5 linked regions of the Xenopus tropicalis genome follow. The protein of the gene in region 3 interacts with the protein of the main gene of each other region in a pairwise test. Links are inferred from orthologs where the notes say so. Each region holds a gene or a part of one and is shown on either strand. Other genes may lie near its edges. The genes, in order: krasl, rras2, ralgds, rap1a and rap1b.

Evidence for each region.
Region 1: the proteins of ralgds (region 3) and krasl interact in a two-hybrid assay, tested with the Homo sapiens proteins (3 studies listed by BioGRID and IntAct). The link is inferred for Xenopus tropicalis from reciprocal best matches to the Homo sapiens genes RALGDS and KRAS.
Region 2: the proteins of ralgds (region 3) and rras2 interact in a two-hybrid assay, tested with the Homo sapiens proteins (2 studies listed by BioGRID and IntAct). The link is inferred for Xenopus tropicalis from reciprocal best matches to the Homo sapiens genes RALGDS and RRAS2.
Region 4: the proteins of ralgds (region 3) and rap1a interact in a two-hybrid assay, tested with the Homo sapiens proteins (3 studies listed by BioGRID and IntAct). The link is inferred for Xenopus tropicalis from reciprocal best matches to the Homo sapiens genes RALGDS and RAP1A.
Region 5: the proteins of ralgds (region 3) and rap1b interact in binary tests that used the Homo sapiens proteins (3 or more experiments, as listed by UniProt). The link is inferred for Xenopus tropicalis from reciprocal best matches to the Homo sapiens genes RALGDS and RAP1B.

The regions. Positions count from the first base shown.
Region 1 is NC_030679.2:2,105,543-2,109,662, forward strand, and holds the start of krasl (GTPase KRas), read right to left. Parts: upstream 2,807-4,120; 5' UTR 2,667-2,806; intron 1-2,666. UniProt on the Homo sapiens protein: Ras proteins bind GDP/GTP and possess intrinsic GTPase activity. Plays an important role in the regulation of cell proliferation.
Region 2 is NC_030680.2:3,481,834-3,485,348, reverse strand, and holds part of rras2 (ras-related protein R-Ras2), read right to left. Parts: coding exon 3,509-3,515; intron 3,391-3,508; coding exon 3,288-3,390; intron 356-3,287; coding exon 247-355; intron 160-246; coding exon 41-159; intron 1-40. UniProt on the Homo sapiens protein: GTP-binding protein with GTPase activity, involved in the regulation of MAPK signaling pathway and thereby controlling multiple cellular processes. Regulates craniofacial development.
Region 3 is NC_030684.2:11,276,288-11,280,526, reverse strand, and holds the start of ralgds (ral guanine nucleotide dissociation stimulator), read right to left. Parts: upstream 2,816-4,239; 5' UTR 2,667-2,815; coding exon 2,481-2,666; intron 1-2,480. UniProt on the Homo sapiens protein: Functions as a guanine nucleotide exchange factor (GEF) activating either RalA or RalB GTPases and plays an important role in intracellular transport. Interacts and acts as an effector molecule for R-Ras, H-Ras, K-Ras, and Rap.
Region 4 is NC_030678.2:59,474,170-59,477,684, reverse strand, and holds part of rap1a (ras-related protein Rap-1A), read right to left. Parts: intron 3,026-3,515; 5' UTR 2,993-3,025; coding exon 2,936-2,992; intron 1,917-2,935; coding exon 1,848-1,916; intron 24-1,847; coding exon 1-23. UniProt on the Homo sapiens protein: Counteracts the mitogenic function of Ras, at least partly because it can interact with Ras GAPs and RAF in a competitive manner. Together with ITGB1BP1, regulates KRIT1 localization to microtubules and membranes.
Region 5 is NC_030679.2:58,804,206-58,807,720, reverse strand, and holds part of rap1b (ras-related protein Rap-1b precursor), read right to left. Parts: intron 2,339-3,515; coding exon 2,282-2,338; intron 1,854-2,281; coding exon 1,713-1,853; intron 1-1,712. UniProt on the Homo sapiens protein: GTP-binding protein that possesses intrinsic GTPase activity. Contributes to the polarizing activity of KRIT1 and CDH5 in the establishment and maintenance of correct endothelial cell polarity and vascular lumen.

The sequences.
Region 1 (4,120 bases), on a different chromosome or scaffold from region 3:
CTGCTGCTTACAATGGGGGGGGGGATCAGATAGGATCTGTGCCACTGTGACAGAATGCTCTGTTATACAGATAGCTAGAATCTCAGCCATAAAGCAGGGCAGGACTGCTGCTTACAATGGGAGGGATCAGATAGGATCTGTGCCACTGTGACAGAATGCTCTGTTATACAGATAGCTAGAATCTCAGCCATAAAGCAGGGCAGGACTGCTGCTTACAATGGGGGGATCAGATAGGATCTGTGCCACTGTGACAGAATGTTCTGTTATACAGATAGCTAGAATCTCAGCCATAAAGCAGGGCAGGACTGCTGCTTACAATGGGGGGATCAGATAGGATCTGTGCCACTGTGACAGAATGCTCTGTTATACAGATAGCTAGAATCTCAGCCATAAAGCAGGGCAGGACTGCTGCTTACAATGGGGGGATCAGATAGGATCTGTGCCACTGTGACAGAATGCTCTGTTATACAGATAGCTAGAATCTCAGCCATAAAGCAGGGCAGGACTGCTGCTTACAATGGGGGGATCAGATAGGATCTGTGCCACTGTGACAGAATGCTCTGTTATACAGATAGCTAGAATCTCAGCCATAAAGCAGGGCAGGACTGCTGCTTACAATGGGGGGATCAGATAGGATCTGTGCCACTGTGACAGAATGCTCTGTTATACAGATAGCTAGAATCTCAGCCATAAAGCAGGGCAGGACTGCTGCTTACAATGGGGGGGATCAGATAGGATCTGTGCCACTGTGACAGAATGCTCTGTTATACAGATAGCTAGAATCTCAGCCATAAAGCAGGGCAGGACTGCTGCTTACAATGGGGGATCAGATAGGATCTGTGCCACTGTGACAGAATGCTCTGTTATACAGATAGCTAGAATCTCAGCCATAAAGCAGGGCAGGACTGCTGCTTACAATGGGGGGATCAGATAGGATCTGTGCCACTGTGACAGAATGCTCTGTTATACAGATAGCTAGAATCTCAGCCATAAAGCAGGGCAGGACTGCTGCTTACAATGGGGGGATCAGATAGGATATCTGCCCTCTGGTACAGAATAGTAGGCAATTAATTTACCCCTCTGCTTTAGTTCAGTGGCAATTTCAGGCCCTTCGTCCTCCATGTATTAAGGGCCACAGATGAAGTCATGTGACCCCCAGTAGAAACAGAGGGGGATATGTAACCCGTCCCCCATTTCTCTATACAGAACATTACTGATGCCCCTATACCGACAAACTAGGGGTATTTACCCTTTTAGCACCTTAAATATTAAAGTCCTATTCTTGTGGTTGGGGGGGGGGGGGGGGGACTAGGAGTCAAAAATAGGCCCAAAGAACTGCAGGGGGCATTCCCTAGAGACCCTGTAAAGAAGTATAACGGACAAAGACAACACATCCTGGGGGGGGGGGGGGGTAATTGTGGTCCCAGGGAATTACCCCTAAACGCAGTACCCCAATAAGCTGAAAAAAGAGACAAATGGGGCACAAGTAGACAGAGACCAATCAAAGCAGGGGGGCAGAATGGGAGAGAGAGGAATAAAGCCCCAAGGGGGGCAGAATGGGAGAGAGAGGAATAAAGCCCCAAGGGGGGCAGAATGGGAGAGAGAGGAATAAAGCCCCAAGGGGGGCAGAATGGGAGAGAGAGGAATAAAGCCCCAAGGGGGGCAGAATGGGAGAGAGAGGAATAAAGCCCCAAGAGGGGCAGAATGGGAGAGAGAGGAATAAAGCCCCAAGAGGGGCAGAATGGGAGAGAGAGGAATAAAGCCCCAAGAGGGGCAGAATGGGAGAGAGAGGAATAAAGCCCCAAGAGGGGCAGAATGGGAGAAAGAGGAAAGCCACAGGGGTAGGGGGCAGAATGGGAGAAAGGAATAAACCCCTGGGGGGGCAGAATGGGAGAAAGGAATAAACCCCTCGGGGGGCAGAATGGGAGAAAGGAATAAACCCCTCGGGGGGCAGAATGGGAGAAAGGAATAAACCCCTCGGGGGGCAGAATGGGAGAAAGGAATAAACCCCTCGGGGGGCAGAATGGGAGAAAGGATGAACCCCTGGGGGGCAGAATGGGAGAAAGGAATAAACCCCTGGGGGGCAGAATGGGAGAAAGGAATAAACCCCTGGGGGGCAGAATGGGAGAAAGGAATAAACCCCTGGGGGGCAGAATGGGAGAAAGGAATAAACCCCTGGGGGGCAGAATGGGGATCCCCTTGGGATCAGTGGGTAAAGCAAGGGAAGGCAGGGGGGGTAGGAAGAAAGGGACCAGCAGCCACTTGCCCCAAGGGGTACAATACAGAGAGAACAGATCAGGAGGCAGTAATACCCCTGGTGGGGTAAATATAGGGGATCGCTAGGGGCAGGAATAAAGGGCCCAAAGCAACTACCGGCCGGGGGTAAATATAGCAGTTACACCCATGGGCCCAGGAAGGATGAGTAGTTACCCGCAAGGGGCAGATAGAGAGAATCAGAAGCCAATTAGCCCCACGGTGGGGTAGCTGAGGGGGATCAGGAGATCCTTATACCCCGGGGTGGGGGGCAAATTGTAACCGGCCAGTTACCCAGAGAGAAGGCCAAATACCAGCCCCCGGCTGCAGTTAACCCCCAAGGCTTAGTACCCACATACCCCCCGCTGGGGTAACTAGCCAGGCATTGTACCCCCCGGGCCGCACTCACTCACCGGTATGCTGGCGGCTGGGGCTCACGGCTGCATGCTTCCCCCTGGGGATGGGGCCCGGGCTGGAGCAGAGAGAGAAGGCGGCGCTGCCGGTCCCGCACACACAGGCCTGGGCCGGAGACTCCCAGGGGCTCTTTAAATACGAGCTATAAATACAACGGGGATTCGCCGGTGACGTCAGAGCGATTTGGCCTCCCTCATTGGCTGAAGGCGGAATGCAAATGAAAGCGCCCCGCCCCGAACGCTAGGCTACTCCCCGATGGTACCGCCCCCCTGGTGTGACGTACGGGCCGAGGGGCGTGGTGTCCTGGTTACTATTGAGTAAAGGGCAAGTAAGCCTGATAATTCGTCTGCAGGAAATGCCATGACGTAACGCTCAGATCTTTAACCCTGAGAGCAGTGAAGCTGCCATACTGTCTGTCCGTGTGTGTGAAAACTTGTAATTGTCTATCATTTAATCAAGTACTGAAAGAGAGAAAGTGGCGGATAAAGTAGTAAATACTATTTTCCCTATTCATTTGGAAGCAGGGTGGTAAACTGCAGAGAAAATACTCATTTGCAATTGGTCTTCATTTTTTATTATTTGTAGTTTTTTAATTATTTCAATTCTTGTTCGGCAGCTCTCCCGTTCCACTGCTATCTGGCTGCTAGGGCTCCAATTACCTTAGCAACCAGGGAGTGGTATGAATGAGAGACAGGAATATGAATAGGGGAGGGGCTGAATAGAAAGATAAGGAATAAAAAGTAACAGTAACAATAAAACTGGAGCCTCACAGAGCAATAGGGTTTGGTTGCTAGGGTCCAAGTTACCCTAGCAACCAGCGAGTGGTATGAATGAGAGACTGGAATATGAATAGGGGAGGGGCCGAATAGAAAGATAAGGAATAAAAAGTAACAATAACAATAAAACTGGAGCCTCACAGAACAATAGGTTTTGGCTGCCGGGGTCAGTTATCCTGTTGCTAGGGTCCAAATTACCTTGGCAACCAGGGATGAGAGACTGGTATATGAATAGGGGAGGGGCTGAATAGAAAGATAAGGAATAAAAAGTAACAATAACAATAAAACTGGAGCCTCACAGAGCAATAGGGTTTGGCTGCCGGGGTCAGTGACCCCCATTTGAAAGCTGCAAAGAGTCACAGAATTCAAAAATTATAAGAAATAAATAATGAAGACCAACTGAAAAGTTGCTAAGAATAGACCTTTGAGTTAACTTATGATGTAGAGAGTGATATTCTGAGACAATTTGCAATTGGTCTTCATTTTTTATTATTTGTAGTTTTTAATTATTTTACATTTTGTTCAGCGGCTCTCCAGTTTGGAATTTTAGCAGCTATCTGGTTGCTAGGGTCCAAATTACCTTAGAAACCGGGGACTTGCTAAGGTAGAGTTGCAATGAGAGACAGGAATATGAATAGGAGAGGGGCTGAATAGAAAGATAAGGAATAAAAAGTAAC
Region 2 (3,515 bases), on a different chromosome or scaffold from region 3:
CCATATGTATAACACACAGAGTAAAGATGGCGCCACTCACCTTACAACTCTAACAAGTTCATGAAATGCTTGGTCTACATTCATTCTGATTTTGGCCGAAGCCTCCATGTAGGTGACTTTCAGCTGCCGCGCCAACTGCTGCCCCTCCTCCCGCGTTACCTGGAACATCCCAAAAGATGAGTTTAATCACAGCCAACACCTCCTCTATCATTTACCCCCACTGCCCCCCCCGCCATAACTACTTACCTGCCTCTGGTGCTCCAAGTCAGCCTTGTTACCAACCAGAATCATGGGAAATTCATCCCGGTCCTTTACCCGCAGGATCTGTCTTTGGAATTTGTAGATTTCTTCAAAACTACAAAAAAAAAAATTAGAAACAGAATAAAAATTCCCTCCCCCTCTCACTCCTGCACCCTAGTATCCCCTCCCCTCTCACTCCTGCACCCTACTATCCCCTCCCCTCTCACTCCTGCACCCTAGTATCCCCTCCCCTCTCACTCCTGCACCCTACTATCCCCTCCCCTCTCACTCCTGCACCCTAGTATCCCCTCCCCTCTCACTCCTGCACCCTAGTATCCCCTCCCCTGTCACTCCTGCACCCTACCCCCCCCCCCTACTATCCCCTCCCCTCTCACTCCTGCACCCTAGTATCCCCTCCCCTCTCACTCCTGCACCCTAGTATCCCCTCCCCTCTCACTCCTGCACCCTAGTATCCCCTCCCTCTCACTCCTGCACCCTAGTATCCCCTCCCCTCTCACTCCTGCACCCTACTATCCCCTCCCCTCTCACTCCTGCACCCTAGTATCCCCTCCCCTCTCACTCCTGCACCCTAGTATCCCCTCCCCTCTCACTCCTGCACCCTACTATCCCCTCCCCTCTCACTCCTGCACCCTAGTATCCCCTCCCCTCTCACTCCTGCACCCTAGTATCCCCTCCCCTCTCACTCCTGCACCCTAGTATCCCCTCCCCTCTCACTCCTGCACCCTAGTATCCCCTCCCCTCTCACTCCTGCACCCTAGTATCCCCTCCCCTCTCACTCCTGCACCCTAGTATCCCCTCCCTCTCACTCCTGCACCCTAGTATCCCCTCCCCTCTCACTCCTGCACCCTAGTATCCCCTCCCTCTCACTCCTGCACCCTAGTATCCCCTCCCCTCTCACTCCTGCACCCTAGTATCCCCTCCCCTCTCACTCCTGCACCCCAGTATCCCCTCCCCTCTCACTCCTGCACCCCAGTATCCCCTCTCACTCCTGCACCCCAGTATCCCCTCCCCTCTCACTCCTGCACCCAGTATCCCCTCCCCTCTCACTCCTGCACCCTAGTATCCCCTCCCCTCTCACTCCTGCACCCTAGTATCCCCTCCCCTCTCACTCCTGCACCCTAGTATCCCCTCCCCTCTCACTCCTGCACCCTAGTATCCCCTCCCCTCTCACTCCTGCACCCTAGTATCCCCTCCCCTCTCACTCCTGCACCCTAGTATCCCCTCCCCTCTCACTCCTGCACCCTAGTATCCCCTCCCCTCTCACTCCTGCACCCCAGTATCCCCTCCCCTCTCACTCCTGCACCCCAGTATCCCCTCTCACTCCTGCACCCCAGTATCCCCTCCCCTCTCACTCCTGCACCCCAGTATCCCCTCCCCTCTCACTCCTGCACCCTAGTATCCCCTCCCCTCTCACTCCTGCACCCTAGTATCCCCTCCCCTCTCACTCCTGCACCCTACTATCCCCTCCCCTCTCACTCCTGCACCCTAGTATCCCCTCCCCTCTCACTCCTGCACCCTACTATCCCCTCCCCTCTCACTCCTGCACCCTACTATCCCCTCCCCTCTCACTCCTGCACCCTAGTATCCCCTCCCCTCTCACTCCTGCACCCTAGTATCCCCTCCCCTCTCACTCCTGCACCCTACTATCCCCTCCCCTCTCACTCCTGCACCCTACTATCCCCTCCCCTCTCACTCCTGCACCCTACTATCCCCTCCCCTCTCACTCCTGCACCCTAGTATCCCCTCCCCTCTCACTCCTGCACCCTACTATCCCCTCCCCTCTCACTCCTGCACCCTAGTATCCCCTCCCCTCTCACTCCTGCACCCTAGTATCCCCTCCCCTCTCACTCCTGCACCCTACTATCCCCTCCCCTCTCACTCCTGCACCCTACTATCCCCTCCCCTCTCACTCCTGCACCCTACTATCCCCTCCCCTCTCACTCCTGCACCCTACTATCCCCTCCCCTCTCACTCCTGCACCCTAGTATCCCCTCCCCTCTCACTCCTGCACCCTAGTATCCCCTCCCCTCTCACTCCTGCACCCTAGTATCCCCTCCCCTCTCACTCCTGCACCCTACTATCCCCTCCCCTCTCACTCCTGCACCTAGTATCCCCTCCCCTCTCACTCCTGCACCCTAGTATCCCCTCCCCTCTCACTCCTGCACCCTACTATCCCCTCCCCTCTCACTCCTGCACCCTACTATCCCCTCCCCTCTCACTCCTGCACCCTACTATCCCCTCCCCTCTCACTCCTGCACCCTACTATCCCCTCCCCTCTCACTCCTGCACCCTAGTATCCCCTCCCCTCTCACTCCTGCACCCTACTATCCCCTCCCCTCTCACTCCTGCACCCTAGTATCCCCTCCCCTCTCACTCCTGCACCCTAGTATCCCCTCCCCTCTCACTCCTGCACCCTACTATCCCCTCCCCTCTCACTCCTGCACCCTACTATCCCCTCCCCTCTCACTCCTGCACCCTACTATCCCCTCCCCTCTCACTCCTGCACCCTACTATCCCCTCCCCTCTCACTCCTGCACCCTAGTATCCCCTCCCCTCTCACTCCTGCACCCTAGTATCCCCTCCCCTCTCACTCCTGCACCCTACTATCCCCTCCCCTCTCACTCCTGCACCCTACTATCCCCTCCCCTCTCACTCCTGCACCCTACTATCCCCTCCCCTCTCACTCCTGCACCCTACTATCCCCTCCCCTCTCACTCCTGCACCCTAGTATCCCCTCCCCTCTCACTCCTGCACCCTACTATCCCCTCCCCTCTCACTCCTGCACCCTAGTATCCCCTCCCCTCTCACTCCTGCACCCTAGTATCCCCTCCCCTCTCACTCCTGCACCCTAGTATCCCCTCCCCTCTCACTCCTGCACCCTAGTATCCCCTTCCCATTTTATTCCTGCTCATACACTTCTGTATCCCAAGACCCACCATGGATGTGTAGGGATGTAGCACCCTCAGAACCTGTACAAGACCCAGGAAGCAGCAACTGAAAGAATAACGAGGTGCAATCTGTCTCACCTTCCCCTGTCTGTGACCGAAAATACCAGCAGGAACCCCTCTCCTGTCCTCATGTACTGCTCCCTCATTGCCCCGAACTCCTCCTGCCCCGCAGTGTCCAGAACTGGAAAAGAACAAAGGAGATGGTACATAAATATCCCAGCATCCTCTGCAAACCCATCCCTGCCCCTCTACTGGGGCTGCCACAGACAGTACAGCAGGGGGGCGTAGCTTATACTCACTATCCAA
Region 3 (4,239 bases):
CTTATTCCTATCAGCCCCTGCCCTAGTGAGCTTACAATCTAAGGGCCCTATCACATTCCCATCAGCCCCTGCCCCAGTGAGCTTACAATCTAAGGTCCCTATCACATTCCCATCAGCCCCTGCCCCAGTGGAGCTTACAATCTAAGGTCCCTATCCCATTCCCATCAGTCCCTGCCCCAGTGGAGCTTACAATCTAAGGTCCCTATCACATTCCCATCAGCCCCTGCCCCAGTGGAGTTTACACTCTATGGTCCCAGTAGAAACTGACACTTTGCAGATAGCGCCCTGGCGGGAATTGAACCCAGGACCCCATTATTTGACAGTAATTTAGAAGAGCCCATTGTGTAATTGCAGGGATCCTATTCTATATATAAGCTTTCAGTCTATCCCCCCCCTCCATCATTCTAGTATAGCCCAGTGCAATCCACTGATGGAATGGTCACAGTATCCTAGCAGCTCAGGTTAAAAAAGAACCCGCGTTGGTCAATTCCAGTCCTTAATTAATAAATGAAAGTGAGTGCTCGGATCTCATTGGCTCATGAATACTCCGCCAGAGCCAAGAAAGGGGGTCACTTTGCCACCACAGATGTAAATTAGGGATCAAATGAACCCAGCGATGCCAATTACTGCTAATAAGAAGGATGGGGCAGTGGGGCTCTTGGGCACCTATGGATATTTACTAACGTATGTGGGCAGTCATTTGCTCTCTGCCAGGGGGAAATAGATGCTAAAAAGCCCCTTAATATATTGTATATTGAATCCCCGGGGGGGGGGGCACCCGGGGCAGGTACAGCGGGCACTAATGGGTGCCAGGCTGCCGCACAGTATTACAATAGAAATGGATATGCCAGTAATTCTGCACTTTGGCACCACTCCCGTCTGCTCCCTGTGCCCTTTGCTCGGCTAATCTCTTACAGTCGGGGGCCACAGAAGCAGGAGAACGGCCCCTAGAGACGGAGGGGTATGAGCCCGACTATAATCCACTCGCGATTAACATTCCTGCTGCCGCCACCGCGGCATTGCCCTTCCCTGCAGCGCCCTGACAGGTGCCAGCCAGCGTGCCCGTATAGCAGCCCACTGGCCAACATGGCAGAGCAAATCTATTTTATGTCCTGCCAGCAAGCCGTATCATGTAGCCATTTGCTACACTCAATAGACCAGTTCCATAGGAAGCCTACTAGCAACGCGGCAGTTCCATGTAGCCATTTGCTACACTCAATAGACCAGTTCCATAGGAAGCCTACTAGCAACGCGGCAGTTCCCTGTAGCCATTTGCTACACTCAATAGACCAGTTCCATAGGAAGCCTACTAGCAACACGGCAGTTCCATGTAGCCATTTGCTACACTCAATAGACCAGTTCCATAGGAAGCCTACTAACAACACTGCAGTTCCCTGTAGCCATTTGCTACACTCAATAGACCAGTTCCATAGGAAGCCTACTAGCAAGCGGCAGTTCCAGGTTGCCATTTGCTACACTCAATAGACCAGTTCCATAGGAAGCCTACTAGCAACACTGCAGTTCCCTGTAGCCATTTGCTACACTCAATAGACCAGTTCCATAGGAAGCCTACTAGCAACACGGCAGTTCCATGTAGCCATTTGCTACACTCAATAGACCAGTTCCATAGGAAGCCTACTAGCAACACTGCATTTCCCTGTAGCCATTTGCTACACTCAATAGACCAGTTCCATAGGAAGCCTACTAGCAAGCGGCAGTTCCAGGTTGCCATTTGCTACACTCAATAGACCAGTTCCATAGGAAGCCTACTAGCAACACGGCAGTTCCATGTAGCCATTTGCTACACTCAATAGACCAGTTCCATAGGAAGCCTACTAGCAAGCGGCAGTTCCAGGTTGCCATTTGCTACACTCAATAGACCAGTTCCATAGGAAGCCTACTAGCAACACGGCAGTTCCATGTAGCCATTTGCTACACTCAATAGACCAGTTCCATAGGAAGACTACTAGCAACACTGCATTTCCCTGTAGCCATTTGCTACACTCAATAGACCAGTTCCATAGGAACCATTGCCAAAAGCCAGTTCCCTGCAGCCACTACACTCAATAGGCCATTGGCTTAGGGCCAGGGTGCACATTAGAGGGGTATATACAGGGATTACAAACCCAAGCTGATGGATACAGGAGTGCATTATTCAGAATGTCCGTTTGCCTTGCCGATCCATTTGCTACACTCGATAGGCCAGCTGGTTGTACATATACCACACATACAGAGCAGCAATCACTCCCCAGTGCTGGAAGCCATAGTTTGACAACTCTCTGATTGCCAATGAAGTGTAAATACAAACAAGTTGGAGATTTCCTGTGCCTACAGGATACATTGTATCAATATCCAAACATGAATCATACCCCCCCCCCTGCTACTGCTGGACTACAACTCCCAGCAACCCTTGCTGCACAAACCAATTAGAGCGATTACATGAGCAGAAAGCAGCAACAAGTCGGAGGCTTAGGTCTCACCTCTAGCGGGGGCAGGTCCGGGTCCAGCTGGGTGAAGCTGCTGAGTACCACCGGGCTGCTTTCCCCGGCCACTTCCAGCCGGACCCCATCCCACAGGCTCCTCATCTTCCTGGCGGTGCACTCAAACATCTTCTCCGGGGTGCATGGCTTGTCATGTTGGGGCTCCAGCAACATGAGGTAAATCATAGGGAGAAATAGGGTATCAGCTCAGTATATCCATGGACTTAGCCCCCCTGTATCCGTGTGAGCGCCCCCCGAACTGGCGAGCAGAATGGAACGTTCCGCTGAGGGGATTCTCTGGCTGCTCTGCGCCTTTCTGCTGTGGGATCTCCGGGACTCGCTCATTGCCATTCACTGCGCCTCTGGGGCCCGCCCACTCCGTCACCGAGAGGCGGGGCGAAAACCCGGACTGGATCTCATGTGATCAGCCCGCTATAGAGCTGTAATCCTGGGAATTGTCTGGATATCGATTGGGATTAAACATGGGGGGGGGTTACCCGTTTCCCTTTCTGTTTATTGCTGTGTAAAAGTGAAATTGACTCGGTGACTCTGACCTGACTGGAACATACGGGCACTATCTGTTTTACTTGCAGTCTCTTATTAGTGTTGTGAGACTTCACTGACTGAATATGGCATAACTACATCCTGGGCAATATAAATACTGCATTACTACTGGTACCCCTATTCCTCTGGTGTAACTCACCCAACGGGGTTACAGATATATAGAAACATTGGGGTAACAGTCACCCTGCTATAGTTCCAGGGGTACCCAGGGCACAAATAAGCACTCACCCCAAATCCCCCCCTAACTGGCCTTCAGGCTGGGCCCCCTCAGCCCATAACAAGGTTACAGATATATAGAAACATTGGGGTAACAGTCACCCTGCTATAGTTCCAGGGGTACCCAGGGCACAAATAAGCACTCACCCCAAATCCCCCCCTAACTGGCCTTCAGGCTGGGCCCCCTTAGCCCATAACAAGGTTACAGATATATAGAAACATTGGGGTAACAGTCACCCTGCTATAGTTCCAGGGGTACCCAGGGCACAAATAAGCACTCACCCCAAATCCCCCCCTAACTGGCCTTCAGGCTGGGCCCCCTTAGCCCATAACAAGGTTACAGATATATAGAAACATTGGGGTAACAGTCACCCTGCTATAGTTCCAGGGGTACCCAGGGCACAAATAAGCACTCACCCCAAATCCCCCCCCAACTGGCCTTCAGGCTGGGCCCCCTTAGCCCATAACAAGGTTACAGATATATAGAAACATTGGGGTAACAGTCACCCCGCTATAGTTCCAGGGGTACCCAGGGCACGGGGTTCCATGTAGTCACTCACTGTATATTTTCCCTTTAAAGAACCTGCTTAGTAAGTGGGTTCCCCAGTAATACTAATAATAACAAGGAGAGGGAGGGGGAGCAGTTTGGTTGGTACAGAGGTTTCCTGCCAGCGGTGAGATTATTTTCCTTGCCTCTATTTCCTCCTATTTATTTATAATAACCTCAGATTCTCTTGGGATTGTTCCAACTGCACACACACACGCACTGATCAGCTGCTCCCGACCAATCCAAACACAGACTGGCAGATCAAAGCGCAGGCAGCCATGAGCTGTATTTATATTGCGCTCTATATAATGTTTAAATGTGTCTATTTTCCTAATAATACCAGTGGGTGTCTGTGTGGGTAACCCTGGCAGGTTAATTGGCTCCTGAGTCAGGGGCTGATGGGAATGTGATAGGGACCTTAGATTGTAAGCT
Region 4 (3,515 bases), on a different chromosome or scaffold from region 3:
TGCTGTCCTTCCACTTCCACTTGCTGCAATTCAAACAAAATGCATCTTGGTTAATTTCAAACATTATGTAATACAAGACTTCACAACAATAATATTTTTATACTAACTACAAGAAATAAAAAAATTATAAAGATTTTTTTTTTTTATATCTGACCAAATTATGAACAGTCTTGTAAATGCTGCTATTCATGTAGTAGGTCTTTTCATATTTGCTACAGCTTTAAGTGAGTGCATTAACCCTTTGAGTGTCACAAATGGAGAAATCTATATCGCTGTACACCCCACATTCGCACATCAACTTACATCAAACTAAAAAGTGTTTCTTTTTAGTTACAATAGTGTGCATAGCTTTACAGATATTTTTGACAGGGGGCACTATACACCTATGTATACTATAGGAGTTCAAATAACAGGTTAAACATTTTTTAAATTAAGAAATGCACCGGCCTAGAGAAAAACTGACACTAAACTGCAATCTTACTTGGGCAGCAAAATGTAAAATAGCTGTGCAGTGTCAGTTTTTTCCCTTAAATGCACTGATGTAAGGGAAAAACAGCTCTTTAATTTGTTCTTAATGAACACAGGTGTATATTGTTCCTTTTATGTTTGAAAAAGTTGTAGACATTTTTCTACTTGGGTACCTCCTATTACACCATGGCCCATTATTTTAAAGTCATGCATTCAAGTCCAAGGCTATGAAATGAGGCATTCCGACCGTCTGCTTCTAACTGAAAAGCTTGGGAAGAGCTCCGCCTTTGGAAGAAGTTGGCACAGCATTTCCATTGTTTTTTTTTTTTAATCAAAAGCAGTGACAGATTATTTCTGTGTGAAATTACACTATTCATTAAAATTACTTGCATTGAATGACATTTGCATAGTTGCACTGTGTCTGTCCTGCCTCCTATTGTAAATATGGCACATGCACACCTACTGATGTTGGGTTCCCAAAGCAGCTAGCATCAAGAAGCACAATGTATATGCACTAAATCATGTACAGATATTATTTTGACACTGAGCACTACCCCCACAGACTTGTGTTGAAATTACATGGCGAGTACTTGTCATGCTAAAGGTGCCCAAAAATGCATCAGTAGGCTTTTACAGACAGCTGACTTCTGACAGAGAATGACAAAAGGAAGAGGCTGAGGTCGATCAGTATCTACTTAATGTGAATATTTTAGATAAGGACCACTGATCATGCTTAGCTTTGTACTATACAATGAGAAGTAGAAGATATAGGAGGGGCAAGCACAGACTCTCTGGAAAGCCGAGGGACTTCAAGTCCCAGAATTTTATATTTCAACAGGAAGTGGCTGACTCTGCCAGCCTAAGATGCTGGAGTGGGGAAATGGCATCTGTGAGTTGAAGGCTTCCTCTCAGTTTGTGGCCATGTGTCTTTTATTTCCTTTAACACAGAGGTGAACAAGTAAAAGTTGCCATACACTGGCAGCTTTTGACCTTGGAAACTTGTTAGCCCATGTATGGGGCTTACCAACAGCCTACCCGACCAATATCTGGTTGGTTTGATTTTCCTGTCGGTGTGAGGACCACATCCGCATGGAGCTATGTGGATAGAGGCTGGCTATACAATGGACAAATACAAAAGCAAAAATACAATATATAAAAGCAAATAAACTATATACAAAGCAAATAAGCAAATTTGTTACAAAAAACAAACAAACTGTAGAGGTACTGGAAAGTAAATTTAATGTGAATGAGAGGTATGCTTCCTGCTTCTTTAGGTGGAAAATAGGTAATATTTTAAAACTAACAATTTATTTAATGTAAAGTAATAAACACTAATACAGAATATGTAAACATGTTAGTACATTTAAAATAGGTATTACCTTTCTGTATGAATCTTCTATTGTTGGGTCATACTTTTCCACAAAAATACCTTGAACAAACTGGACTGTCTGTAGAGAAATAAAATGTATGAAGAAAATTACACAACAGACATGTTTAACCACATCACCTGCAGCAGCTAAAAATAAACCCCATTAACTGGGGGCGGGGGATATCAGCCATTTATAAAATGCTGGGGGTACAAGCCAAGGAGCATCTCTCTGTGCTGGGCATCTTAGAATTTAATTTTGCCATGAGAGCTTTACTAAACTACACCTTATAGAACAGGTGTTCTGGTGTGAGGACCATGAACATTTCTTGTGGCAAGTACAATCTCTAGATCTGTATTTCAGCCCACTGCTTAAAGTTTTGCAAAACTAAAGTGTGAAGTAATTTCAGCTATGAAATTATTACAACAACCCCTCTTACAAACAACTGGAATTTTTGTCTATTATAGTCTATTCTTTCATCTTTACTTTATTTTACAATACAACACAGGCCGTATCCGAGCTTTTATTAAAAGGTAAATATTGTGTAAAAACGAGAATGTGCCAGTGCATTATACTTGTCTAAATACTGAAGAAATGTGCTTTAAAAAATGTGTGTTTCCTGCTTTTTCTGGATGTGCAGGGGGACCGGCAGCACTCAGCACTGTAGGATAGGAATCAGCAGGTAAGTGGACCTGATAGGGAACTTAAGCCTGTATTGTGTGACTGCAGAGCTGTGATTGGCTATCCTCCTCCTATAGCTCTTTTGGCAGGGACCATTAGAACACGCCCAACTCCTTATATGAAACATCACAGGGATGTAGCAGATCTATAGAAACTCCAATAAAGGGTTCGTTTTTAAGGAAAATGATCATTTTAAGCCCAGAGTGAAATCAGCACCATATATTATTCATTACTGCCTACAAGTTTAGGGTGGATTTTCATTTAAGCTATACGTCTCGTTAATAATAGGCTACATCAAACCATGATAGATATTAACCTATTCCCCTTTAAAGAGTAATTATTTTTATATGGGCTAATTGGCTGTATTATGTAAGTTAATTATGACATGGCCAAATATACATATGGAAAGCTCAACTTACCAAAGCAGACTTTCCAACACCTCCAGAACCAAGGACCACGAGCTTGTACTCGCGCATGATGGGATTATTTTTGTTTCACAATAGTGTAGTCTAGAGATGAAAAAACAATGTATTTAGTTTTAGTATTTTAGGAGCTTACAGCACGTACAGTAAAAGTCTAACATTTTGTGAGAAAAAAAAAAAAACAACCACCCTTCTGCTCTAGAGGATTTTAATGTGTTGCTTAGACAAACAGAGCGGCTTTCACTGCAAAAATCCTTGGTCACGTGCATGTCTGACATCCATTCCATGTATTAGCACCTAGGCTGACAGTGCCTGTGGGTACAGACGAAGGGCAGCCAGAGGAATCAGCTCCATGTGGAACTAGCCTTAGCTTTGAAACCTCTTATTGGACCCAGATTAATGTAACTTTGATAAATAAGTATACTTTAAAGCTGCAAAGTAGTTGAAAATAGATGAAGTTCCACTTGTTTCCTTCACCATTTCACAAAATAACTCCTTATGAAACAGAAGTCCTGTGTTGATAGCTGGATTTTTTTTTTTTAACAACTGACTGTACAAGGAGGAAAAAAGGGACCAA
Region 5 (3,515 bases), on a different chromosome or scaffold from region 3:
TTTAATAGAAAATAAAAAGTAAGATACTACCAGCAGCCACAAACATGTTTCAAGAACTATATACATAGTAAATGTTTATTGGAATATTTTTCCTAAATAATAATAATAAAAAAAAAAATTAATGCATTGCTGTTTTACATTGTAAATGTTATTGATTTTATAAAAAATGAAAACCACAGGTAATGAAAAATGAAGTTTAGTTGCCCTGTCAGTGGGACAGTGGGATTGTAGTTTAGTGGAACATGACTAGCGTCAGGTTGCGCATACTGCCACTGGCTATAAATATGCATATTTCAGTATGAATCTAGAGTAAGCATAAAGAGGACATGGGTAATGAAAAGCAGCTTTCTTGGATCTCTGCCATATATTCACGGACATGACCATAAAGAGGAAATAATGTGCTATAGCTTACACAGAGGAAAGTTTCTGCCTGGCCTAAGGGTATTTCTTTTTAAACAGTTGCTCATGCTTAAAATGTTTTCACTCAGCGCTTAAAAGAACAAGTATAATTATAAAAGATAATTTATTTAAACACTGGTATACATGTGGGCTACAAAACTAGTGTAGTGTACTGCCTGACTGAACTTTGGTTGCAGGAATAGGCACTTTATCTCCTGGTGTCTTGGCATGCTTGGCACACCTGGCTGTCCGTAAACTGTTGTGTATCAGTGCCACAATTCCCTAGGCATGAATAATTCCTCCTGAAGAAAAAAATGGTAGGTCAAAACTTAATTTTATTTTGGATGGGGTGCTATAATTATTTGATCGGAAATAGCTTTATAAATAATGGTAGATGAAAAGATAAAATCTAATGTTGTGTAAAAGATTCAATTTAAACAGGCTGGGTGTATTGACTGAAGCTAAAAAAAAAAAACGTGTGGTTCTGCATTTAGTATTGTAACTCAAATATGCATACACATAGTAAAAATAATGACTAATGCCAGGAATCGATATAAAGCAAAATGTTTCACATGTATGCAAAAGTGGACAAACAAGGACAGAGATAATTAGTATATAACAACACCAGATTATTTCAAAAGATTGACACTTGCGCATTTTAGTGTTTTGTGCTGGTCAATCATAGATATAATTGAAAAAAAATGCCAGTTTTGTCTCAAACATGTCACAACCATTTTATAGCCACACATCCCAAAAATAGTTTTGTACAATTTTCTGTACTTCTATAGCAACCCACCAATCCCAACCAATATCAATCTATTATGGATATCTGTGTTTGACATATGTTTGTTACATATCTGTTTGTTCAGCCCCAGGGATGATTACCTGTATACCTAAGAGCAAGGATCCCCAACCTTTTTTACCTGTGAGCCACACTCAAATGTAAAAAGAGTTGGAGAGCAACACAATCATGAAAAATGTTCATGAGCGTGCCAAAAAGGGCTGTGATTGGCTATCTGGTAGCTCCTATGTGGCGGCCTAGAGGAGTCTCTGTTTGGCATTACACCTGGTGTTTATGCAACCAAAATTTGCCTCCAAGGAATACAAAAATAAGCACCTGCTTTGAAGCCACTGGGAGCAACATCGAAAGGGTTGGGGAGCAACATGTTGCTCACGAACCACTGGCTGGGGATCACTGCCTAAGAGGATCGGCCTGTGTACAGCCACCTTAAGTCTAACATTGAAACCTGCAATAATACATGACAGACATCCGTAATGAACCATCTTTTAATGTACTCCTACAAAATGCTTACATCATCAGTGTCTTTTACTCGGAGGATCTGTTCTCTGAGGTCCTGCAAGTCATTGAAAGTGGACTGTGCTGTTATAGAGTACACTAATGCAAAGCCCTGTCCATTTTTCATATACAGATCACGCATTGCTGTGAATTGTTCCTGGAATAAGAAAGAAAAAAGACAACAGTATAAATGTCTCATCTGTTAGGTAACGCATGCTACCTGCAGAGTAAAACATAGCAAAGCGTTATTCAATTTAATAAGCTGTTCAGGTGACGTAAGCTAAATTCAGTAATCTCCAAGGCAAAACTGGCTATAGTTGTGTAAAAAATGTTTAATGCAAACTTGGGTATAGAGGACACTGACAATTTGCTCATCAAGTCAACACTTGACTGCTTACCTGCCATAGATAGGTAGCCAAATGCAATAAAAATCTGTTAAGGATCAGGCTTAATTTTAGCAAAGATTCTAGATATCAGAGAGCCCAGTTTCATAAAGACAGATAATGCACCAATAAAAACTACTGTTATTTTTAAGCAGCACGGCTTGCTTTCTGCGTACATAAATTTTTGCTACATACAACATACCGTTCCTGCGGTGTCCAAGATCTCCAACATGCACTGTTGCCCATCAACTTCAACTTGCTGCAAAAAAGTTAAAGACAGTGTTACAAAAATTTCAGCAAAGTGTTGTCCTTAGGGCCACAGACATAGAATTTGATTCTTAGGTTAATATTCTCTCTCTGCTCTAATTATATAAAATGTAGCCTAAATGTCCAGTGCAACCAAATTCTGTTGTCTAATCAGAGACCTGCATTCCAGAAGCACTTACGGCTATACAACATTCAAGTATATGGACTCACACCAAAACTGCTGATCATGGCGTTTGCTATATAATATTCCTTTGTATAACATAACAAATTTAATTTTGCAAATGTGTTATAAAAATGCAACTGCAAAAGAAGTGTGCCCACAATCTGATATTATGTTCCCTATGTGGCAAGACAAACCAGTTAGTGGCAGACAAATTCCTCATGAAAACATCCCAACTACACTTTCAGGGATTTTTAACCAGACCCCAGAGACAGTAATGTTAATGTTGCTTTATAAGAGAAGTTTATTGAGACGTGTGACATAAGTGAAAGGCAATACAGGATCGATTCTGCTTAGTACTGACTATGGTAATTATATATATATTATATATATATATATATATATATATATATATATATAACCTAGCCAGTGGGACCCACAAAGGGTGGGGGGGCCTTATCTCACAAAGGGAGGACTGGCTTCAGGTGCCTCACCCTCTGCAGTGAGCGAGGGGCAGAAAACCAGAGCTTATGTATGCCTTATAAATACATATAGTTTTCATGTTGCTTTAGAAAGATTTTCAGCTCCCCTATCTATCTATTTGCACAAGGCCAGTTACATTCCATGTGAGGCACAACAAAGAACAAAATCACATTTTGGTCTAGAAGACACAGTGCGATTAAATATCTGATCAAGTAGAATATGAACATCTAAGCAATATAGTTATACCTGATATAATCATGTCATTTGGCCCTATCAGGGAAATAGTTGCCCTGTGATCCACATAGGTACCCACTTCAAGAATTGGAAACAGAAGTCACTATGCTGCATTGGGGCGAGGCAGAAATAATTTACAATGAAGCCACAGGAGGAAGGAACCATTCTGGATGTTATGAGATGGCTTAGACAGAAGTCAGATAATCCTGCGTGTCACTATATGACTTGCCTGTTGTATTTGCCCAACTACTGGCAATGCTGACTGAAATTTACCAAGCTCGGCATCACAATT